Saccharomyces cerevisiae S288C: one gene and its partners. The protein of the gene in region 2 interacts with the protein of the main gene of each other region in a biochemical or structural test. Each region holds a gene or a part of one and is shown on either strand. Other genes may lie near its edges.

What was found. The genes of interacting proteins can lie anywhere in the genome.
Region 1: of the proteins of PCL1 (region 2) and DMA1, one has a biochemical effect on the other in vitro, tested with the Saccharomyces cerevisiae proteins (2 studies listed by BioGRID).
Region 3: of the proteins of PCL1 (region 2) and GTS1, one has a biochemical effect on the other in vitro, tested with the Saccharomyces cerevisiae proteins (one study listed by BioGRID).

The regions. Positions count from the first base shown.
Region 1 is NC_001140.6:337,360-346,187, reverse strand, and holds DMA1 (ubiquitin-conjugating protein DMA1), read left to right. Parts: upstream 1-4,828; coding exon 4,829-6,079; downstream 6,080-8,828. Other genes in the region: histone methyltransferase SET1, read right to left, coding at 1-145; ORC6 (origin recognition complex subunit 6), read left to right, coding at 560-1,867; protein channel TOM71, read right to left, coding at 1,920-3,839; COX23 (Cox23p), read right to left, coding at 4,068-4,523; BZZ1 (Bzz1p), read right to left, coding at 6,204-8,105; APE4 (aspartyl aminopeptidase), read right to left, coding at 8,379-8,828. UniProt on the Saccharomyces cerevisiae protein: E3 ubiquitin-protein ligase which functions in cell cycle retarding in conjunction with the UBC4 and UBC13/MMS2 complex, 2 E2 ubiquitin conjugating enzymes. Involved in nutritional control of the cell cycle. Targets the G1 cyclin PCL1 for destruction.
Region 2 is NC_001146.8:84,568-92,641, forward strand, and holds PCL1 (Pcl1p), read left to right. Parts: upstream 1-3,329; coding exon 3,330-4,169; downstream 4,170-8,074. Other genes in the region: MID1 (Mid1p), read right to left, coding at 1-1,248; RFC3 (replication factor C subunit 3), read left to right, coding at 1,651-2,673; CCR4-NOT core subunit CAF40, read left to right, coding at 5,736-6,857; SEC21 (coatomer subunit gamma), read left to right, coding at 7,427-8,074. UniProt on the Saccharomyces cerevisiae protein: G1/S-specific cyclin partner of the cyclin-dependent kinase (CDK) PHO85. Essential for the control of the cell cycle at the G1/S (start) transition.
Region 3 is NC_001139.9:153,484-161,845, forward strand, and holds GTS1 (Gts1p), read left to right. Parts: upstream 1-4,422; coding exon 4,423-5,613; downstream 5,614-8,362. Other genes in the region: YGL185C (putative hydroxyacid dehydrogenase), read right to left, coding at 1-823; cystathionine beta-lyase STR3, read right to left, coding at 1,132-2,529; MND1 (Mnd1p), read right to left, coding at 3,060-3,716, 3,800-3,802; serine/threonine protein kinase ATG1, read left to right, coding at 6,582-8,362. UniProt on the Saccharomyces cerevisiae protein: Appears to modulate the timing of budding to obtain an appropriate cell size independent of the DNA replication cycle. Transcription factor involved in both heat resistance and flocculation.

The DNA.
Region 1 (8,828 bases), on a different chromosome or scaffold from region 2:
GACGTTGATTATATTGACTAGAATATTGTTGGTGAGAATGGCCGTTTGAATACTGATAGTGACCAGAACGCGAATATTGAGGCTGTTCCTGGGGTTGTCTGTATGAACCAGAAGACGCGTGTGCTCTTCTATAGTAATTTGACATTCTCTAAACGCAGAGACCTCTTATAAAGATTCAACAAATAAGGAATGTTACCTATGCTAGTCGCAACTCTCTCGTAAGTTGAGGGTTGCTAACAGAAAAACGATGAGAAGAAACTTTTGAAAAATATTGTGTGAAAGCAGCACGAAACAGAGTATGAAAAAAGAATGCGGGCGTCCGTAAAGAGCTAGAATCGCAAGTGTCCAGAATATGCAAGGCTTTCGAATACACTCCTCACGCTTCTCTTCAGCAAAAATCAACTCTTTGTGATAAAACTGTGTATTTCTTTGTTCTTTGCCGTTGTTTACGTTAGTAAGAAATCGGCATTGAAAAAAAAAATCTCACACTAAAATTGCAGAAAAAAGTGTACAATATCAGTAAATAAAATTGGCCAAAACAATACCATTAAAACCAGTCATGTCCATGCAACAAGTCCAACATTGTGTCGCAGAAGTACTTCGACTAGATCCACAAGAAAAACCGGACTGGTCGAGCGGATATTTGAAGAAGTTGACTAATGCGACATCGATTTTATATAATACTTCACTGAACAAGGTAATGCTGAAACAAGATGAAGAGGTTGCTAGATGTCACATATGTGCATACATAGCGTCACAGAAAATGAATGAAAAACACATGCCTGACCTTTGCTATTATATAGACAGTATTCCCTTGGAGCCGAAAAAAGCCAAGCATTTAATGAACCTTTTCAGACAAAGTTTATCTAATTCTTCACCTATGAAACAATTTGCTTGGACACCGAGCCCCAAAAAGAACAAACGCAGTCCAGTAAAGAACGGTGGGAGGTTTACTTCTTCTGATCCGAAAGAGTTGAGGAATCAACTGTTTGGTACACCAACTAAAGTTAGGAAAAGCCAAAATAATGATTCGTTCGTAATACCAGAACTACCCCCCATGCAAACCAATGAATCGCCGTCTATTACTAGGAGAAAGTTAGCATTTGAAGAGGATGAGGATGAGGATGAAGAGGAACCAGGAAACGACGGTTTGTCTTTAAAAAGCCATAGTAATAAGAGCATTACTGGAACCAGAAATGTAGATTCTGATGAGTATGAAAACCATGAAAGTGACCCTACAAGTGAGGAAGAGCCATTAGGTGTGCAAGAAAGCAGAAGCGGGAGAACGAAACAAAATAAGGCAGTTGGAAAACCGCAATCAGAATTGAAGACGGCAAAAGCCCTGAGGAAAAGGGGCAGAATACCAAATTCTTTGTTAGTAAAGAAGTATTGCAAAATGACTACTGAAGAAATAATACGGCTTTGCAACGATTTTGAATTACCAAGAGAAGTAGCATATAAAATTGTGGATGAGTACAACATAAACGCGTCAAGATTGGTTTGCCCATGGCAATTAGTGTGTGGGTTAGTATTAAATTGTACATTCATTGTATTTAATGAAAGAAGACGCAAGGATCCAAGAATTGACCATTTTATAGTCAGTAAGATGTGCAGCTTGATGTTGACGTCAAAAGTGGATGATGTTATTGAATGTGTAAAATTAGTGAAGGAATTAATTATCGGTGAAAAATGGTTCAGAGATTTGCAAATTAGGTATGATGATTTTGATGGCATCAGATACGATGAAATTATATTTAGGAAACTGGGATCGATGTTACAAACCACCAATATTTTGGTCACAGACGACCAGTACAATATTTGGAAGAAAAGAATTGAAATGGATTTGGCATTAACAGAACCTTTATAACATATCCAGTATTAACTAAAAGTATATATTTGACCAATACCTGACATATCTTCTAAAGCATGCCTTTAGCCCTATAACGAGCTAATGTTAGCTCCATCTTTGCACTTATGATTGGATCAGCCCTCAAACGCTTTTGTATCTTTGCAGCTTCCGCGAAGGTAGTAGCTTGAAGTTTTTCATCCATAGTTCTTGCTAAAATTGCAGAATCTTCAAACAATTCTATGGCCTCGTCAATTTTTTCCATTTGTAATTTTAGTTGTGCTAACCCGATCTTCGCTTGTTCAGATCGTGGATCTAATTCACAGGCTTTTGTCAGCAGCTTAATGGCTGCGTTGAATTTCTCTTCATCCAACTGGGTTGGATCTTGAGAGGATTGTCTAGCTAATATAGTTGCTTTCCCAATCAAGGGTCCTATACCCACATGTATTTTTTCTTGCACTTCTTCCAACCTTTTAGCAATATCATATTGTTTAATTGCAGTATCAAAATCGCCCCTATCTGTCAAGATTTCAGCGAAAAAGGTGGGCACCTCAGGTAAGGTAGGAAACTTCAACTTTGTTTCATTGAAAAAAGCTTCAGATTCGGTAAATTTACCTTGCTTGTACAACAAACAGGCTAATTGAATGTAGGGATAAACATTTTCAGGGTTCAAGCTTTGGGCCTTTTGGAAATCTTCCTTGGCATTTTTATAATCTTGTAGAATAAAATACATCTGCCCACGGTGGTAATAGGTTGGCGGATACTCAGGGTTTAGATCAACAGCTTTTTGGAAAAATTTGAAAAATTCTTGAGAGTTTTCTTTATCGGCCAAGGTCAATGCCAAAAATATGTACGAATTTGGTGTTGGATGCAGGTTTATAGATTCTTGTAAAAGAACTTGGGCATCTAACAGGTTATTTTTTAAGAAATGGAAAATACCCGTGTAGCACAATGCCAAGGCAGCATTCTCTCTTAAAGGATCGTCCACTGTATTTGCAGAAAGTAGAGAGTGGTACATGTCAGTGGACTTTGTTAAAAGATCGTTTGCTACTAAGTAACCTTCATCTGTTGCAGAATATAGTCTTTGCAAAGCATCTGACAATAGAGCGTATGCAGTATCGTAGTTTGAACTGGTGTTCACACTAGAAACTTCTAAGTGAGAGTCAAAAATCCCAAAAAATGACGCCAGAGATGTGTTAGACGGCAAAACCTGCGAGCCTCTGCCTTCATCCTTCGATAGGTTTTCATTTAGTACTTTCATTGCTTGCTTATTTAAATTTCTTTCCAGCATAGGTTCAATGGAGGCTCCATCAAAGTCACCATTCAATGACAAAACAGATAGATCAAACATAGCATCAGTGAAGTTGCCCAGTGACTCGTTGGCAGATGCACGTCTCAGCAAGGCTTTAGAATGGTCAGGTTTTATCTCAAGTGCCTTTGTAGTGAACTCTATAACCTTCTCTAAGTCGCCCGTAGAAATGTAACAAGCAGATATGTTGGAATAGAACACTGGTTCATTCGGGTCCAGCTCAATGGCATACTGGTAGTATTTGATGGCCTCATTAAAATTCTTAGCAGTGAAGAAGTGGTTACCTCTGTTCTTCAGTTGCACGGCATACGCTTGTCTCTGGGAGGGTGATAGGCCTTTCAATTGGGCAATATCAGGCTCGCCATTGGGCAAGGAGGGATAGTCAAACCCTTCTCCCGATTTTGCCTTATTGTTCCTCTTGCGTTTATTCTTCTTCTTCTTCCTCTTATTACTTCCACTTACGACGCTGCCGTCGTCCTTTAAGTCCGCCTCGTCTTCATTTTGACCAGCAAAGGCCTCACTTTGACGTCGGTTGTCTTTTGTACCCTTCAATTGCTGCTGTTGCTGCTGCTTAATTTGCTGGTAGTAAACATAAGCACCCACAGCAGCAGTCCCCGCAGAGACCGTTGCTAGGATGGCCACTTTGTTCTTGGTGATAAACCTCAGGAGGGAGTTTTCGGCCATAAGAGCTTCTTATGTTCGGTATATACAAGTATGTAGAGATATATACAAAAAATTCTTTATTCGCACTTTGAAAATCCAATTTAGCTTGCTTATTTACATACCATTGCGAATTAGTTTTTCACATTGCACTAGAGTGTGCTGTGGCTGCCTGTCGGAACACTACGTCGCGTAGTGGCGATCTATATAGAAAACAGATCACAGCTGAACAAACAAGAAGAAAAGGCTGCCTCATTCCCACTGCTGTCTGTTTTTCCTCCTGGCTGTCAGCCATTGTTTCTTGCATTCGCGGTATGCGTCAAAATATTCTTGGCACTTGGATCGGTCGTAATCGTTGCGCTCGAGGCACTGAAAACTGAGCTTGGAGGACTCCTCACAAGGATCATAGTACTGACTGTCAGCCTTTAACGCGAATTTATACTTATTGACCGGGTTCTCCGGGTCGTCTGGGTAGTATTGAAATGACGACGGATCGTCGCTCTTTGGTACATAGTTGACTTTGGTTCTGTCCGTTACGGGTCCACTGGCCGCTGGTGGCGTGGAAGACGAAGATGGTTGTGAATTGTTGCTGCTTGTAGAGCCACTGTTGGTATTTGTGGTATCCCTATTATCGTTGGTCATGGTCATACCGTTGGAGATAGTGGAGAGACTACTAGTTTGCCGCCTGGTGGGGCTGGGCTTCTCCATTCTCTTTAAGCGCTCTCGTGAGAGAATATCACTGTTTACGGCCCACAAAGAGAATGAGAAAATTGATAAACCTTAGCATTGGGATCAGCAGGAGCCTTAGAATTCTGGGTGTGAACAGAAACACATTAGTGCATTAGTGTATAGGTTCGATATTATTCAAAGAGGAACTCGGTGTACGGCTCAACTGTAAACCGTACTTCTCGTTCTTTGTTCACTGCCCTGTTTCTGACTCTTGTGCCGTGAGCTTTTCTTCTTACAGTGTCGATTTCCTGTGCACATACGTTCTGTATAGTGGTTATTCCTGGATGTCTACTAATACTGTTCCCTCATCTCCCCCAAACCAGACGCCACCTGCTGCTTCTGGCATCGCTACCTCTCACGATCACACCAAGTTCAACAATCCCATCAGACTACCGATATCCATCTCTCTCACCATTAACGATACGCCTAACAATAACAGCAATAATAATAGCGTTAGCAATGGTTTAGGTATTTTGCCCTCGCGTACGGCTACTTCTTTAGTCGTTGCAAATAACGGTAGCGCAAACGGCAATGTTGGTGCTACTGCTGCTGCTGCTGCCACTGTGGAGACGAATACAGCCCCCGCGGTGAACACTACAAAGAGTATCCGCCATTTCATATATCCTCCAAACCAAGTCAATCAGACGGAGTTTTCACTTGATATACATCTCCCACCAAATACCTCGCTACCGGAACGGATAGACCAATCTACTTTGAAACGCAGAATGGACAAGCACGGGCTTTTCAGCATTAGGCTAACCCCGTTTATAGATACTTCATCCACGTCTGTGGCTAACCAGGGTCTTTTCTTTGACCCCATTATCAGGACTGCGGGCGCAGGCTCGCAAATTATCATCGGAAGATACACCGAAAGAGTAAGAGAGGCAATTTCCAAAATTCCAGATCAGTATCATCCCGTAGTGTTCAAATCAAAAGTGATATCCAGGACCCATGGGTGTTTCAAAGTTGATGACCAAGGAAACTGGTTTTTGAAAGATGTCAAGTCTTCCAGTGGGACCTTTTTGAACCACCAGCGTCTATCTTCTGCGTCTACCACTTCTAAGGACTACCTTTTACATGACGGAGATATCATACAGCTGGGTATGGACTTTCGCGGCGGGACGGAAGAGATATATCGTTGTGTTAAGATGAAAATAGAATTGAACAAGTCTTGGAAATTAAAGGCCAATGCATTTAATAAAGAAGCCTTGAGCCGAATAAAAAATCTACAGAAACTAACTACTGGTTTAGAACAAGAAGACTGTTCCATTTGTCTAAACAAAATAAAACCTTGCCAAGCCATTTTTATATCACCATGTGCCCATAGTTGGCATTTTCATTGTGTAAGAAGATTGGTTATTATGAATTATCCTCAATTCATGTGTCCGAACTGTAGGACAAACTGTGATTTGGAGACTACCTTGGAATCCGAATCTGAATCCGAATTCGAAAACGAGGACGAAGATGAGCCAGACATTGAAATGGATATAGACATGGAAATAAATAACAATTTAGGTGTTCGCCTAGTAGATTGATCACATGAAATTTTGTGCTATATATATATATATATATATATATATATATAACATAGAGTCGTCATACCTCTCAAAAAAGTGGCGGCCAGGGAAAATATTTAATAGTTTCAGTTCATTCCTTCGTTCATTTACAGTAACTTGTAGGAAATAGACCTTTCAATCCGTCACATTCACCATATGTCCACCCGCTACCGTCATCGCCTCTGATAACAGTAATTATGTCCCCCGGATCAATTGAAATCTCATCATCTCCCTGTGCTTCGTAGGCATATATGGCCTCCATCGTCCTAACAGGTAGTGTACTCCTTCTTGGTGGTGGTACTTCTGGTGCAGGGCCTCTATCATTTGCTTTAACTGTAGCCGCGCTAGATATGCGAATATATGTGGTGGGTACAAGGCCGGTTTCCCCAGTGGTGTCGTTATTTATCTTAGTCCATCCAGAACCCGTATCGCGTGCAACCAAAGAGATTTTGTCTCCTGGCGTAATGGTGATTTCGTCATCATCCTTTTGTACGTATGCATACAACACTTTATTCTTGCCGTCATCACTGGAATTTTGTGTGGTCTTTTTTGTATTGTTGGTACTAGTGGTGCGTATAGAATTATTATCTGAATCTTCACCAGCGTTGTTAGGGGCAGAGCCTAGCCTAGTTCTTCTTGATGTGTTGAAGAGACTTGTTATATGCAAGGGTCCTCCGTTGCCATTACCAGTGCTCCCTCCACTCGAAGGCTTCGAGTCGACGTTCAGGATGTTGTGTTTGAACTTACTGAATATCCCGGATTTCTTCTTTGTTTTGGAAAGATCAATATTGTCTGTGGATAAATCGTATTCTTCAGGAACATTATTCTGAATACTTTCGATTTGAACTTCGGCTTGCAATTTTAATGTTTCGTGTGAGGTAAAGGGTGAAACGACATTTAAGTATTCCTTTAGTGTATCATAAAACTTAGTGGCATTGATATTATCTTCATTAGTTTTCATTTCGTGCTTTATCTTGTTCAAAGTAGACAGTTTGGATAACTCATTTTGAGTTTTATCTTGCAATGAATTGTAATCATTTTCTGCTTTTGCCAGTTTTATTCTCAAGTCTTCAACTTCCAACGACGAGGGAACAGCAAATTTTTCATCATCATGCCATACTGGAGATGGCTTATAGACAAAGTCTTGTGGTTCTTTCCAATTCTTTAGATTGTGCTTGATAAAGATGGCCGTGTTTAAAGAGGGTTTATTCTGCTTGACAACAGAATTTGCCGCCTGGAGTCTTTTGCTGACATTTGCACCCAGATCGTTCTCGACAGAAGCCGCCTTCAACCACAGATCATTTAAGAAAAGGGTCTTTGCCTCATTTACGTCTTGTAGAAGATCTAGCACTTCAGGAACATCTTGAAAATAGTATTTATCCTTAGTTCTATTTGCCTGGTTGATCTTGATTAAATATTCATTTTTACACTTGTTCATCTCCATTTCTTTTTCATCCAACTTCTTTTTATTTCTATCATTAGATGCCTTGGTATACCTATTTCTTGCCATTTCCATAGTGGAACAGGCTTCATCATAGTCCTTCTTCGCTTTTTCCAGTTCGTGGTAAATGTTATCCTTTTTATTAACCATGTCATTGTTAAATCCATTTATCTTGCTCAAAGTCATATCAAGTTTAGTGAATAATCCACTCAATTGATTTGCTACATGATTTTCAAAGTCGGTTGATAACTGATCATGATCCTTGGAAATCATATCAGTCTGAGATAGAATTTCATTCCATGCAACCACACCTGCAGCTTCAATGGACCCTGGCGTGGTAGTAGGTGTGTCACCTACCGAGATAGGAACTGAGGTCGAAGACTTCTTATTAAAGTACTCTGCTGATAAGCGAGATAATCTCTCGCTGTAGTCTTTTTCTAACTTAGCCCTTTCCCGATAAAATTGCTCAATGTCCTTCAACCATTTTAAGTTATTTTGGACCCATTTATGGGTTTCCTTAAATGAATCTTTAATTTCATTACCAATCGATAAATCTGCACTCATTTTTATTGCAAGTAATGTAGTAGTTGGCGTTTAAGGATAGATTTCCGCTCATACAAAATTGATCAATCTGCTACCTTCTTCAAAAACTATTTGCGTACAAACTAAATCTGTCTATTCCTTTGCTAAGCGTATATTCTTTTAAAAACTTTTTATTTTTCTGAAGACCCCGCGAAAGCTTATGTAGATCACAAGATATTATATATATTTACTATTTGTAAAATACAAAAGAGGGCAATAAATATACCGGATTATGAATCATCTAACAATTGCAGTTTAGACAACAATTTCAGATTCTATGGAAGTGTAGCGTTCAAAAAATTCCTTAAATAACTTGATTTGGAACTCCAGGTCTGCAGAGCCACCGGTCTCTCTAATCGAATGCATACTCAACACAGGATTACCCAAGTCTAGAGTTCTAATACCTGTCTTTGAGGCCAAAATGGGGCCGATGGTAGAACCGCATGGTGAGTCGTTAGCTACGACAAACAATTGCAAAGGGACTTTAGCAGCCTCTGCTAGTCTTTTCACCAAGACCAACCCTGGTGAATTGGTCATGTAACGTTGATTCGCGTTAATCTTGATTACGGGACCACCACCCAATAAGGGTTTGTGTTGGCTTTCGTATTTGTTTGCATAGTTTGGATGAACTGCATGAGCAACATCAGATGAAAGGAAAAACGACTTAGCGGAAGTTTCCAATATTGCCGAGTGAAACAAAGGTTT
Region 2 (8,074 bases):
GGATATTAACTGTAGAGCTTTGCTAAAATTTGCATATAGTGCCTCTGCAATGTGGTCATATGTCTGCGCCATGAGAGTTTTATTACCCACAGAAAATGAGGATGTAGGAACAGAGTAAGCGACGTCACTGCAGAAGTCCAAACCAAAGATCAAAGAGCAGACATCGGTACTTCTTGTGGTAAAATAAACATGTGAAAATAAAATGCCGCCCACACTTGACAACCCATCACCATTACTGATTTTCTTTGTCAGGTACGCTACATAAGTTGTTGAGGCATTCAGTCCTGTCACGTAAAACATTTCTGTCACGCTACCACCATATTCTGTAATTTTTTTTTGAATCGCCAAGTCAGTACGCTCTAAAGGATTTGTACTATTTGACGTAACTGTTGCATTTGATGTATTTTGGGAAGACACTAAATATGGTCCATTTTTCACAGCACAAAGAGATAAATTATAGTTTTGGTTTAGTTGAACAGAATCTTCGTACGAGTAAACATACAGATCGTACAAGGATGGATCATATATTGAATAATTGTGATAAACTTTGGCGTCTGCGGTGACATTCCCCGTTGATAGTAATGCAGAATTCATATCAGTGTCCAGGACCTCTACCCAAGGCCTTACATCCCACTGAAAAACCAAATCGTTCTCAGAGATACTCAGTCTATATTCCCAATTTTCAGAGGCGTCGGAACTGGACAGAGGTTGCTCCGTAGTGGAATTCACTAGCTCAGCGACCACATAAAGATTTGAATACGTGGAGGTAGCGTTCGAGCTAGAAGACTGCACTGGACTGATGGCTAATGCTTGGATGTAGCCATCCTGAAAAACTGCACTTTGACCTATATTTGGGTTCTCTAAAACCGTTTCATTAAAAGAGTAGTATATTGTTAAATCCACATCTGATCTATTCATGGGCATTTGGCATATATTGCCGCTAATAAACATTAACACTTCATACGTGGGAGCAAACCCATAACCGGAGGCTTCTGCGTCAATGGTAAATACAAAACTGTCTTTTTTGCCCGCTGTTATGTTAGATAAGATCGGGGTCCATTCATAAATGCTATCCGAATTGATGATTGTTTGTTGACCAGTAGCCATAACGTTTTTCTCCCATCTATTTAGGCTGGGAAACTTTAAGGAAATATTCTTATTTGCGAAAGGATTGAAGTCTTGGAATAAACCGTGAATAGAAGTGGTAAATAGGCAGTAAACCACGAATAGTGCTTGCCACACTATCATCCTTAGAAATAATACTGCCGCTGGACAGAAATTGTAGTGTTACGGGTTTTACTGCAATTCAGTATGGCAGTTAAGCCAGTCAAGTATTTGAGAAATAGCCAAAACGGTACGTCAGCCGGTCGAAATTATTAGGGAAATTTTCCGCAACCAATGGCTCAGTTTCAGTAACCTGTTCTTGAGAAAACAACACGTTTACTTGTAGAGTTACTATTGCGGTCCGATGGCAGCGAAACTATATCATTATTATATTATGTATGGCTTCTCAATTTTGATCTTTTTTTTTTTTGGTCAGTACGCGATTTTGAAAGAAATGGAAAGAAGCTATAAAGAGCACAGGATAAATATCTTTTCAAAGCTTGAATAATTTTATAAAAGGTGTAGGAACAGGCCCGACATACAAGAATGTCGACAAGTACAGAGAAGAGGAGCAAAGAAAACCTTCCATGGGTTGAAAAATACAGACCCGAAACGTTGGACGAAGTGTACGGACAAAATGAGGTGATCACCACAGTTCGTAAATTTGTAGATGAAGGTAAATTGCCACATCTTCTATTCTATGGGCCTCCAGGTACCGGTAAAACTTCTACAATTGTTGCTTTGGCACGTGAGATATATGGTAAGAATTACTCGAACATGGTTTTGGAGCTGAATGCATCCGATGACAGAGGTATTGATGTGGTGAGGAATCAAATTAAAGACTTTGCCTCTACAAGACAAATCTTCTCTAAAGGGTTCAAGTTAATTATACTGGATGAAGCAGATGCCATGACCAATGCCGCACAAAATGCGTTGAGAAGAGTTATAGAACGGTACACCAAGAATACGCGGTTCTGTGTATTGGCCAATTATGCGCATAAACTTACACCTGCGTTATTGAGTAGGTGCACGAGATTCAGATTTCAGCCCTTGCCCCAAGAGGCCATTGAGCGTCGGATAGCCAACGTCTTGGTGCATGAGAAGCTGAAGTTGTCTCCTAATGCGGAGAAGGCCTTAATAGAACTTTCTAATGGGGATATGAGACGTGTGTTAAACGTTTTGCAGTCTTGCAAAGCTACTTTAGACAATCCCGACGAGGATGAGATCAGTGACGACGTTATCTATGAATGCTGTGGGGCACCCAGACCAAGTGACTTAAAGGCAGTATTGAAGTCGATACTGGAGGACGATTGGGGTACCGCCCACTACACACTTAATAAGGTACGCAGTGCCAAGGGTCTCGCGTTGATCGACCTAATCGAGGGCATAGTGAAGATACTGGAAGACTACGAACTTCAAAATGAGGAAACAAGAGTGCATTTGCTTACCAAACTGGCCGATATAGAGTACTCGATATCCAAGGGTGGCAACGACCAGATTCAGGGCAGCGCGGTCATTGGCGCCATCAAGGCCAGCTTCGAGAACGAAACTGTTAAAGCCAACGTATAATCGACGCAAATATGTATAGATACAATATGTACAGAACAACTGCATTGTGCAATATAACAACATAACACAACGCCCAGAACGAAATAAAAAAAATAAAAGAAATAGATGAAAGCATTTTCAATTTGCATACCGGAAACCGTAAATCAATTGGCGTCTAGCTAACAACTGAGAATGCGAATCGCCAAATTGTTACAGAAAGTAGCATTCCGTTACGTGATCTGTACTTTAACCTCTTGGACGTAAAGAATGGCAGAACTCTGGCTCTAGTGTTCTGCGAATGCCAGATCGGGAAATATTTCCCAAAAGGGCAACAGCGGCACGAACAAGAATTTCGTGTTAAAAATCGCGTCCGGCGCGAAATTTTTCGCGGAGGCATGCGACGCAAAAGCGACTCGAAATGTCGGGAGCCAAATGAGGCTACAAGGCTGTGGGCAGATTTTGGCGTTATTATGGAGAATAAAAGGAATGGTAGCTTCCATATAGCGATAGGAAAACATATATAAGGTCAATAGGCCTACATGGTAATGGGATTGATAAGCTTGTCCTTAACTCTTGTGTCTTGGAATTACTATTGCGTACATCAGCAATCATCCATTGTCAAGAACAAAAACGATAACAAAAACAATCAATTATACAAATAACAGTAAAGTAATAAAATGTGTGAATACAGCAAGGCTCTTCATATTCTGCTCAAGTCGCCAGTAACGGATGACATAATAAAATTCTTAACAGACACAACATTGAGGGTTGTTCCTTCAAGCAACTACCCCACGCCTCCCGGTTCTCCAGGAGAGAAACACCTCACAAGGCTGCCATCGCTAATGACTTTTATCACTAGATTGGTCAGATACACCAACGTCTACACACCCACTCTGCTCACCGCTGCGTGCTATTTGAACAAATTAAAGCGTATTCTGCCCAGGGACGCTACTGGTCTCCCCTCGACCATCCATCGCATTTTCTTGGCCTGTTTGATACTGAGTGCTAAGTTTCACAATGACTCTTCTCCTTTAAACAAGCACTGGGCTAGGTACACCGATGGTCTCTTTACACTAGAGGATATCAACCTTATGGAAAGGCAGTTGTTACAGCTGTTGAACTGGGACCTCAGGGTGAACACAGAAGATTTGATCCTAGATCTGCAGCCTCTATTAGAGCCCATCAAGCAAGACTTGGCAAGATCCAGCGACCAAAGGAAGAGAATTAACATGATGATGTCCATGAACAGAAGGACTTGTGCTGGCACGAGTCCTATCAGATCAAACAACAGATTCAAACTCTACGAAAAACAGAGAAACGTGTCGATAGCATCCGATTTAAGTTCTGCTACTCTAGTCGACAGTTGTAATGATCTAAGAAGGCTAAAAGATGTAACCAACATAGCGAACAACACAGTCGCTAACACGAATTACGTCAGGACGGTAGAGAAATGGAACGACAATGTCAACAGGCAAAGTTGGGATCTGGAACAGATCATGAGTCAACATGGGTTTTAATGTGGTAAACAAGATGGCCCTTACGGGGCTCTTAGTGGGAGAAAGATTTTTAATAGAGCATAATTAACGGATACATAATATATTATAAATTTAAATAATCAAGGATACCTAATAATAATAACAATCAACTGAACACAACATTAAAAATGGTATTTGTTATTGTATGTTAAGCCCTAAGTGATTGTGCCGTTATAACTTCCATTCGGGTGATACCTGCAATATGAGGAAGAAAAAAGATAAATTTTTTCTTCTTAAAGTATAAAAGGCGGACATATTTGATTTAAATGCAGAAGTTTTCTCTCAGTGGTTTATGTTTTACATATGATAGAAAAAATGAAGCAATAGCAAAGTATCGTAGTGCGAACCGGTCTCGTAACTTTGATAAGTTTATCAAAGGCGTTAACATTTTGTTTCGTAATAGTACCTTAACACATGACGAAGATGAAAATTAAACATGAATTCAAGGAAAAATGGTAAATGACGAGAAAAAAGCTGTGCACCAGTCTGAACATGGATGCCACAAGTACTCAGGTGTCCTATGAAGCATTAAGTATACCCAAATTTCTGATCCATTTTCCTTTATTTTCTTTTTTTTTTTTCTCTCACATCTGTGACTGTATTATGAGCAAACTGTTTACGTTGAACGGAATCGATATGTAAATTAAATCTTTTGAAATATGTAGGACAGTGCTTGTATAGGTCTGTTAAGTAGATTATAGAATGTACGCCTTTTTTCTGGGCGTGAAATAGATCAGAAATCCTGTTAGGTTGCCACTGGTCCATTTCAGTGTTGCTCATCCAATCAATCATGTATTTACATGCCTGGAGTGGCCTATTCTATGTATTAACAGCCTTTGCAAGACGCGACATTGTTCTTTCCGATATGGCTCGGAGTAGACTAAATATGCTACTTATAGTTTTTCTTGCGTATACCATTGTCTTATAGTTTTTGCACACATTAATGTTTAAAATTGAAACTACGAAGCAAAACAATAAAAAAAACAAACAAAACTTAAAAATAAACAAAAGACGCTCGAAACCAAGTGCATTTATTGAATGTTTTTGGGAATGCAAGTAGCAATACTATTGTAAAAGTACTACTATTTCCCTGTATCATACGCTTTTACTACTATTCCTCACATAAAGCGAGATGCTTACAGAATGCATAAGAGAGAGAAGAAAACCCTATTACGCCCACTTGTCTATATTAGATTACTGTCCCTATTTATATCATCATTGCAAAACGTGAGCACCTCATTAGACGTAGATTCTTGCATAAGTATTACTAGCAGGAGAGGAAAAACTCCACCCACACACCTCAACATGCTGAGAATTTTGCTGCGAGCAGCAAGAGGCAAAATCCAAATTTAAAGTAATTTACGCATAGAAGACATTGTAAAGGGATTGCAAAGACGTAGAGTACGCAAGTTAGAAACCGTTCATCTTTTAAAACTCCCAAGTTTTGACAAATTTGCGAGTGTGTGTGTTTCTGCTGATCTTGACGAGATTAAACTTTGTTCCTGAAGCAACAACGACAGCAACTGAACATCCTCTGAATAAGTTAATATGTTTTCCGCTCAAAAGCCAATATATGGCAATGGAGCAGGCGTGAACATGGGTGGTGGTGGTCCTTCAACTAATAATCCAGGATCTATGTCCATGCCTGGGGTTCCAACTTCAATGGGTCCAGGCATGAATCAACAAATTCCAAGTGGAGGCCCCATGCTAATGGGCAATACTCCGAATAATAATAATAGCAATGAAAATGGCGAGAACAACGGCAATAACGGCAATAACGGCGGTAACGATGCTAACGCAACTCGAAACAATCCCAACATGGTCAATAATAGAGGCGCAGTGCATGCTCTAGATGATCCCAATGTATACCACTGGATTTGTCAATTGACCTACGGCCCTCAAAAGGAACAAGCACTGCTTGAATTAGGTCGCAAAAGAGAACAGTTTGATGACCTTGCCGTTGTGCTTTGGTCTTCCTTTGGTGTAATGACCTCATTGCTGAACGAAATCATTTCCGTATATCCCATGCTGCAACCTCAGATGCTCTCTAACAATCTATCAAATCGTGTATGCAACGCTCTAGTTCTTCTACAGTGTGTTGCATCTCACCCAGAGACAAAACATCTCTTTTTACAGGCCCATATTCCTCTCTTTCTTTTCCCCTTCCTAAATACTACCTCCAGGCAAAGAACTTTTGAGTACTTGAGATTGACTTCATTAGGTGTGATAGGCGCATTGGTCAAAAATGACTCACAAGACGTAATAACGTTTTTGCTAAGAACCGATATCGTGCCGTTATGCCTAAGGATCATGGAATCTTCTTCTGAGCTTTCCAAGACAGTCGCCATTTTCATTTTACAGAAAATCCTACTAGATGACGTTGGATTGCAATACATCTGTGCCACCTTGGAAAGGTTCTACGCCGTAACTAATGTCTTAAAAGATATGGTTGAGCACTTGACCGTGAGCACACCACCGGGACGACTACTGAAACATATCATTAGATGCTACTTAAGATTAAGCGACGATCTCGAAGCACGCAGGCTATTGAAAATAGTCTTACCTGCCAAACTGAGAGATAACACTTTTACGGAAGTACTAAGAGACGACGTCGGGTCCAAGAGATGTCTGGCACAATTGCTACTGACATTAAACGAAGAAACCTCATGATGCATCCCCATAGATATATTACTGTTTTTCTCTTTCTATTTTCCTGTATTGTTTTAACCTTGCCTTTTTGTTTTAGTTTCACTTCCTCACCTCTCCTAATTTTGTATAGTTATATTTATATGCATGAAATGTATAAAGTCCACTCATATTTCAGAATGGTTTAAGTTAAGTGCCAGAAGGTTCTTCTGTACTATTACTATTACCCATTTTTCATCCTATCACCCGGAATGTACCCCTTGTGTCATTCACTACGACGCCACGAACCACGATTCTATTTTTTTCGAAATCTAAAGGTTTCGTCAAGATCAATGAAATATACATAGGCGTTTTTTTGGATACGAGTTGCATTGTTGAGAACACAATTCTTTACAAATAAGTGCAAGGGAGGAATTGTGTGTGCTCATTACCAACGTACTTCTTCAGTTATTCTGCTAAACCCGTTTTTTTGTTCTTAGCTTCATCCAGGTGAGCCCGCAAACATTACAGAACGACGTATAATACAAAATAACTAAACAAATACGGATAGGACAAAAGCCAAGAAGCGATACTAAATCACAGAGCGAATCAACATGTCTGCACATACTTACAAAAAGTTTGAAAACTCGACCTCGGGCGATTTACCTGATAAAATGACCATTTATCAGGATTGTATGAACACGTTTAACGAATCACCTGTCAATTCCAAGAGATGTCGTTTATTGATTTCTCGCTTGCTGAGACTCTTGGCCCAGGGCGAAACCTTCCCACAGAATGAAGCAACTGCATTATTTTTCTCTATCTCCAAATTATTTCAACACCAGAACGATCCTTTAAGGCAGGCTGTTTATTTGGCAATCAAGGAATTGAGTGGCATTTCGGAGGATGTGTTGATGGCAACCTCTTCAATCATGAAGGACGTTCAAAACGGTTCCGATTTGATTAAGCCTGACGCTATTAGATCGCTGACTTATGTCTTGGATGAATCTACTGCTTTTTCCGCTGAAAGGTTATTAAAAAGTGCCGTGGTAAGTAGACATCCTTCAATATCCTCAGCAGCATTATGTACTTCTTATCATTTGCTGCCCATTTCAGAAGTCACTATCAGAAGATTCACCAATGAAACTCAAGAAGCTGTTTTGGATTTGAAACAATTTCCAAATCAACACGGTAATAGCGAATATTATCCAAACTCCACTTATATTTCTCAATATCATGCTCTTGGGTTGCTTTATCAACTG
Region 3 (8,362 bases), on a different chromosome or scaffold from region 2:
TGATTAAATGTTCTGTTTGTGGAGTTCCCGGCAATGTGACCACGATTGCATGAAACTGGTATAGTTTTGCATATATTGTTTCATCTAGCAAATGAAATTTCCAGCTTTCGTTTTGACTCATTGTGCAATCTTCGCTTCTTTTGCAATAATGTATTTCCATTCCTAGCCCGTATTGCAACTTGTAGGCTACTTGCTTTCCAATACTTCCTAAACCAAGAATTAAGCATTTCTTTCCTCTTGGTGATTCAGCAAACATATTCCCCAGTTCATGGCCAAAAGCAAATCCGCTCTTTTCTGCAGCTTTCGCCCTTGCAGTTAATGTATTTCCAGTTTCTCTACTAAGTTTTTGGTAATAGGAGAACTTTCTAAAGCCCTCCAGAATGTGCCACAAGGCACAATCTGCCACATCATTACCGACTTGATGAAGCTTTAAATCGTCTATCAATTTTTCATTTTCATCGTCTTGGTAGTTGTATAATCGAATTTCATGCTTGCGTAATGTATCCAGATCCCATCCGTCGTAACCTCTTGAGCAAAGCACGATACATTTTAAATTTTTCCTTGGAAATGACTTGTGTTCGATGATACTTCGAGTCATCCCACCGATTTTTTTGAATGCCGGAAACCCAGCATAAATGGCACATATTTTGTCTTGTTCATGCCTTTCTAAAAAGTTAAGAAATGCTTCTTTGGTGTCCAGCTGATAGCGCAAGATCCTGAACTTCTCTTTGAATGCCTTGGAATTAAGTGTGGCTGATGTTTCGCACGGATCTGCGATGAAAAGAATAGTAGGCTTTCCAGTCGTTGCAGGAGAATCGCACATTTTTTGTATGCTCTTTTCCTTCTAAATCTGCTGTCAACCCATTGTCGAGTGAAGTTATAAAAGCACAGCTATTTCTATATTCCTTTTACGACCGCCATTACACACGTTCATTGAGGCAAACTTTCCTCCTTCGCGCGTGCGTTTCCCAAGGGTAGTAGTAAGAGCTTACGGAACAGCCCGAAAGGCTGTAAAAGTTTAATATACTTACTGTTCTTGAAATTCTGTCTATATACTTGACTATTTAAAGTTACTATCTTTGGATTTGAACCTTATAAAAAAAAAAAAAAAAGGTACATGCATATTTTCCCTTACAATTTCGAACTCTTAATATTCAATTCTGAGTCCTTTCTGATGAGATCTTGATTGTAAAATTCTTCGTAAATACTTAAAGGCTTATGCAGGTCATCGATGGTAGTGTTCACAGCTAGGTTCTTATTCAATTTGTTGAAAAGATATTTGCCATTTTCTCTTACTTCTATAATATCAGCGTCAACCATCGCCGCTAATAAATCTTTCTTCAAATCTACTATATTTTCGATACCGCAGCAAAGACGAACCAAATCTTCAGGAAAATCTCTCTCTTTCCTTAATTCGGGATCAATGGAAGCATGGGACATTTTGCAAGGCATAGATAGAAGCGAATTTACACACCCGAAAGATACCGTCACAGCCCATATACTCAGTTTTTTGGAACTGACCAGTCTCTTTGAATGTTCGAAGGACCCCGTTTCGAAGGATAACACGGCACCTGGGCCATTATTGAACGATTTATGCAGCTTGAAATCCGGGTTGGAGCGTAATCCAACAAATCTAGTTTTCGTAGCCTTGTTTGTTCTGGTAGGTTTGAATCCGCATGAATTTTCTAGCCAATGAGCCAATATCATAGCATTTCTCTGCTGTTGATATAATCTAACTCCTAGAGTTTTTAGGCCCCTCACAAGTAGCCAAGAATCCATTGGGGATAATCCAGCTCCTGTAGAATTAATGACAAAGTAAAGCTTCGAGGCTATTTCTGGTGTTTTGCTGATAATAACACCCCCCATCAAATCGTGATGACCATTCAAGTACTTGGTAGCAGATTCGTATACGACATCGCAGCCTGGATTCAGTTGAAGAGGATTACAATTGAGTCCACTCATCATAGTATTATCAACGACAACTGTAGTGTCGGGAGATATGCATTTCACAAAACGTAATATTCTAGGGATATCTACAACCTTGCAAAGCGGATTGGTCGGAGACTCTAGAAGAACACAATCAACTTTATCTAAAGACTGGAAAACGGTTTTGAACTTTTCAAAATCGGAAGTGTCCACATGAACAGAGACTGCATGACTCTGTTGCTTGAAAAAATTCAGCAGCCTTTGGGTGCCTCCATAAAGATCATCGCCGGCTATTATTGTTGGCGTATGGTTGTCAGTGCCGTTAAGTAAGACGAGCCCACGCAGGATGACGTCTAGCGCCGTCATACCACTGCTCACAGCTAATACGTTTTCCTGTGGGACACGATAAAGCTTACCAATCTGGTGTTGAAGGACACTTCTGGTCGGGTTTCCCGATCTGGAATAATCGTAGTTCTGTGCATCTTCATTATTCAAGTCCACTTTGAAGGTAGTCGACAAATACACCGGTGGCACGGAGGCTGAATGTTGGTCATTTTGAGAGCCGGTATTTACCACAACTGTATCTAATCTCTTGATCGGCATCTTTTTGCTTCTATGCTTTTGTTGTTTGCTTGATATTTTTTGTTTTTAATGAACTGTAAGCACACAGAGCTATGGGATGTGTGGCAATGACTGTATATATATGTATATATATATATATATATATATATATATTTATTTATTTATTTATTTAAAATATAGCTACGTATGCGCCAGTTGTTTTTATCAGCTTTGCTTCTGGCCACATTTCAACCAGGTCTCAGAGGATATATGGCCAGAAGGCCCCTTTACACACTTTTGAGATGCGATGAGTCTTCCAAGGTAGGAGCATATGCCTCCAACAGACTTCGGCCCGAAGCATGCTGTGCTCACGGGAATTATATTGTGTGAAGCACATGCCACACTTTCCAAAAAAGAGTCAGAATGAGTCAGCCGGATAACCAAACGCGGACTGTGGCGCCACGGAAAACAGTGTGGCAAATTTATGGGCGGCTAATCTGCAAGCTCTATGCCTGGAAATGTAGATGTAATAATCAAGACACTTTTGTTCTTTCGTGTATAGTGCATGAAGGTTAAACCTCCGTAAATTCCTTGAACTCTTCTGGAATTCCAAATTCTTTTCTTATCTGTTCTGGCTTCAAAAAGAATTTCTTGTATAAATAATCAATGAGAATCTCAATGTTATCAGTAGTTTTCTCCAGATGCACTTTTTTTAGGCGGATCTGTTGTTTATTCTCTTGTATTTTTGCTGCATCCCATCTAATGCTTTCTATTTTTTGGAGACTATTACTCTTTTTCTTAATTTCATCCTGAATTTTTTTTCTCTTTTCCAGTAGAGCCTCCCTATTGTATGATTTTTGGCCTACCGTAAATTTTTTACGCCTTCCAGTTGCTAGCGTTTTGTCTAGTTCTTGTTTATAAGTGGCAATATCACACTTTACTTCCTGTATCTTTTTTTTTATCAACTCGCTTGAATCATACAATTTTTGCAGTGTCTGATTTTTAAAGCACCAGTAGATGTTAATATTACCACATTTTTCCACCGAAATGACGCCGTCTTCATCAATCATTTGTTGCACTAAATCTTTAACGATCATGGGTGAGATTCCGCATTTTTTAGGTATGCTTTTCTCTAATTCCTTGATGTTGTAGAATGTGTACGTCTCTTGAAAAAAGTTCAGAATCCGGTTCTTTTTCTCTTGGAGTGATACTGTCTGTCTCTTTGGCCCCTAATAATAAGAAGAGGGTAGCACGCACCCGTCTATAAGTTAGTGTTCAGTCCTGTGTACCATGATGGTTTTATTAGACATACCATTGTTGAATGTTTATGATACTACACATAAAGTTTCCGCCGTTTAGTCTATATCGCAAAGAATAACGGTGGGACGGGAGATCGCCTTTTATATGCAATTTCGTGATCTGGGCGGTTATTTTACTTTTTTTCGACGCATAAAAAAGCAGGAAAGATGGTAAATTCGGTTCGTTATTCAAGATTTTTAGAGCCAGAAAGATATTTGAGCGTGCCTTCGTGAGAAGAGGCTTAGGTTGAGACGATGATGCTGAAATTATGGCAAGACACGAATTCTTCTTCAAGTTTCCCTTGTCATAATAAGAAGAGAAAAACATACCTTTATGTCGGTTGCAATTAAGAAGGTTGTATAGAGCATCTCAAATGCTGCTTTTACTTTATTAAACGTTGACCAAATAATACGGCGCTTTTGTTTCGACAACGACACACTATGATGCAAAGCGGATCCGGGTAATCGATAAATGGGGGCACCCGGAAATTATTGTAAGTTGAAGAAAGTTAGTGTTGATCTCTAAATGCTTCACAAAAGGGTGGAAGAAGAACATTTTCTCTTGATCAATCATTAATATAGATGGAGGCAGCGTTCTGTCAATCACAGATTATAGTTTATTTATACTTAGTCAAAAATGAGGTTTAGGAGTTCTTCCCATAGCTTAAAACATGTTGACAGAGAATTAAAGGAGTTGATTAATTCGTCCGAGAATGCCAATAAATGCGGTGAATGTGGTAATTTCTACCCAACTTGGTGCTCAGTTAATTTGGGGGTTTTCCTTTGTGGTAGGTGTGCCTCTGTTCATAGAAAAGTTTTCGGTAGCAGAGACGACGATGCCTTTTCTAACGTTAAATCACTATCAATGGATAGATGGACAAGAGAGGATATCGATGAATTAGTGAGTCTTGGAGGCAATAAGGGGAATGCTCGGTTCTGGAATCCTAAAAATGTCCCTTTTCCTTTTGATGGAGATGATGACAAAGCCATCGTGGAGCATTACATTAGAGACAAGTATATTTTGGGTAAATTCAGGTATGATGAAATAAAGCCTGAAGACTTTGGATCCAGAATGGATGATTTTGATGGGGAATCGGACAGGTTTGATGAAAGAAATAGAAGTAGGAGCAGGAGCAGATCTCATTCTTTCTATAAAGGGGGCCATAATAGGTCTGACTACGGCGGTTCCAGGGACTCATTCCAAAGCAGTGGAAGCAGATATTCTAGGCAACTGGCAGAACTCAAGGACATGGGTTTCGGTGATACAAACAAAAATTTAGATGCATTATCGTCCGCTCACGGAAATATCAATAGAGCAATCGATTATCTAGAAAAAAGTTCAAGTTCAAGAAATAGTGTATCGGCAGCAGCGACAACATCAACTCCGCCCCTGCCCAGGAGACGTGCGACAACAAGTGGCCCACAGCCAGCTATTTTTGATGGTACAAATGTAATCACGCCAGATTTTACTTCAAATTCAGCATCTTTTGTACAAGCAAAGCCAGCAGTTTTCGATGGTACCCTTCAACAGTATTACGATCCTGCTACCGGAATGATATATGTAGATCAGCAGCAATACGCCATGGCTATGCAACAGCAGCAACAGCAACAGCAACAGCTTGCTGTCGCACAGGCTCAGGCTCAGGCACAGGCACAGGCACAGGCTCAAGTTCAGGCTCAGGCTCAGGCTCAGGCCCAGGCTCAGGCTCAAGCACAGCAGATCCAGATGCAACAGCTTCAGATGCAGCAACAGCAACAGGCGCCATTATCTTTTCAGCAAATGTCGCAAGGAGGAAACCTGCCACAAGGTTATTTCTACACACAATAAAAATAAGATACATTGCCGCTGCTCCGCATTACATATCATATAGAGTGACACTAAGTAATTAAATGACACTAAGTAACGAAAGATATCTGTAAACAACGACTATATACCAGAATTAGTCATATTCTCTATTGTATTCACCCTACACAGCCGCATTACACAGCTGCTCCGGACGTTTTACGCTGCACATCAATGACTAATACCACTGTATTTGATCCACACTTAGCGCAAAAGTCACCTGGGTGGCGTTTTCCGCTCGCGCTCCGCCGGTGAGAGCGAGAAAAAAAAAAGGGATTGGGCGGTAATGTAAGGAAAACCCACTAGTTAAAATCAATGAGATAAGGAACTCTCTTTTTTTCCCGTTAATCATCTTTTCCTTGTTCGTTTCGTGTATCTGTAATGAATCTTATCGGAGTAACTATTACTGGAAAGCCATACCGTTAAAGAAGCAAGCATATCATTCGTATTCAAGCATCTGTTTTTCTTTTTAACCGCTCGGCTCTGATTTCTTAAACCATTTCCCCCATCAGCATCAGTTTGTGATTTGTAACTATATCGATCGTGGAATCGATGGAATTCTAAGCGTCATTTAGTTGGCAACAAAAGGAATCGAGCATCTCATAAAGGAGCTTATATTATTAATATCTTCCTGATCGTACTATTTTTTTTTAGCTTTTTATTTTTTAGGCCGAGGTTAATTCTAGAACGCCACATTTCATCACCTTTAAGTTAAGTACCAAGGCCATCTTTTACCCTTTTTAGTTTCTGGGGAAACAGAGAACAGTACTATAGAAGATAAAAAGATATAATACAATCGTAGTAATAGTACCCATAATAAAATAACATATAATATAATAAAAACATAAGGCAAAGGAGATAGGAGAATAATCATTGATATCTCCACAAAACGAATTTGAAGCTACCCCATATTTTCAAATCTCTTTTACAACACCAGACGAGAAATTAAGAAAATGGGAGACATTAAAAATAAAGATCACACAACCTCTGTGAACCATAATCTAATGGCAAGTGCAGGAAATTACACCGCTGAGAAAGAAATCGGAAAGGGTTCGTTTGCCACTGTATATAGAGGGCATCTGACATCCGACAAATCTCAGCATGTAGCCATAAAGGAAGTATCAAGGGCGAAATTAAAAAATAAGAAATTACTAGAGAATTTGGAAATAGAAATCGCTATCTTGAAGAAAATCAAGCATCCTCATATCGTCGGACTTATTGACTGTGAACGAACATCAACAGATTTTTATTTGATCATGGAGTACTGTGCTCTTGGGGACCTAACATTTCTGTTGAAAAGGCGTAAAGAATTGATGGAGAATCATCCTCTACTAAGGACCGTATTTGAAAAATACCCTCCACCGAGTGAGAACCATAACGGCCTGCATAGAGCGTTTGTCTTGAGTTATTTACAGCAGTTAGCGTCCGCTTTGAAATTTTTGAGGTCTAAAAACTTGGTTCATAGAGACATCAAGCCTCAAAACTTACTATTATCTACACCCCTAATTGGATATCATGATTCAAAAAGCTTCCATGAACTTGGATTTGTTGGGATCTACAACTTACCCATTTTAAAGATAGCAGATTTCGGGTTTGCAAGATTTTTGCCAAACACGTCATTAGCAGAAACTCTTTGTGGCTCACCATTATATATGGCACCAGAAATTTTGAATTATCAAAAATATAACGCTAAAGCAGATCTGTGGTCTGTCGGTACAGTGGTATTCGAAATGTGCTGTGGCACCCCACCGTTTAGAGCTTCCAATCATTTGGAGTTATTCAAGAAAATTAAAAGAGCAAACGATGTCATAACGTTTCCTTCATATTGCAATATTGAACCAGAGTTAAAAGAGTTGATATGTAGTTTATTGACATTTGATCCAGCCCAAAGAATAGGATTTGAGGAGTTTTTTGCTAACAAGGTAGTCAACGAAGACTTGTCTTCTTATGAATTGGAAGATGATTTACCTGAGTTAGAATCCAAATCAAAAGGTATTGTAGAAAGTAATATGTTCGTTTCTGAGTATTTATCTAAACAGCCAAAGAGTCCGAACAGTAATCTTGCAGGTCATCAATCAATGGCAGATAATCCCGCGGAGCTCAGTGATGCCCTCAAGAACAGCAATATATTAACTGCCCCAGCCGTTAAAACAGACCATACACAAGCCGTAGATAAAAAGGCTTCAAATAATAAATACCATAATAGCCTAGTTTCAGATAGAAGCTTTGAAAGAGAATATGTGGTGGTAGAGAAGAAATCGGTTGAAGTTAATTCATTGGCAGACGAGGTTGCTCAAGCAGGATTCAATCCAAATCCTATTAAGCACCCAACTTCAACTCAAAATCAGAACGTCTTATTGAATGAGCAATTCTCTCCAAACAATCAACAGTATTTTCAAAATCAAGGAGAAAATCCGAGGTTACTGAGGGCCACATCATCTTCCAGTGGAGGTAGTGATGGGTCTAGGCGACCATCTTTGGTGGATAGACGCTTGTCTATATCCTCGCTGAATCCATCTAATGCATTATCAAGAGCCCTCGGTATTGCATCAACGAGATTGTTTGGTGGTGCAAATCAACAGCAGCAACAGCAACAAATCACATCTTCCCCACCGTACAGTCAAACTTTGTTGAATTCCCAACTTTTTCATGAACTTACTGAGAATATAATATTAAGAATAGATCACCTACAGCATCCAGAGACACTGAAATTAGATAATACTAATATCGTTAG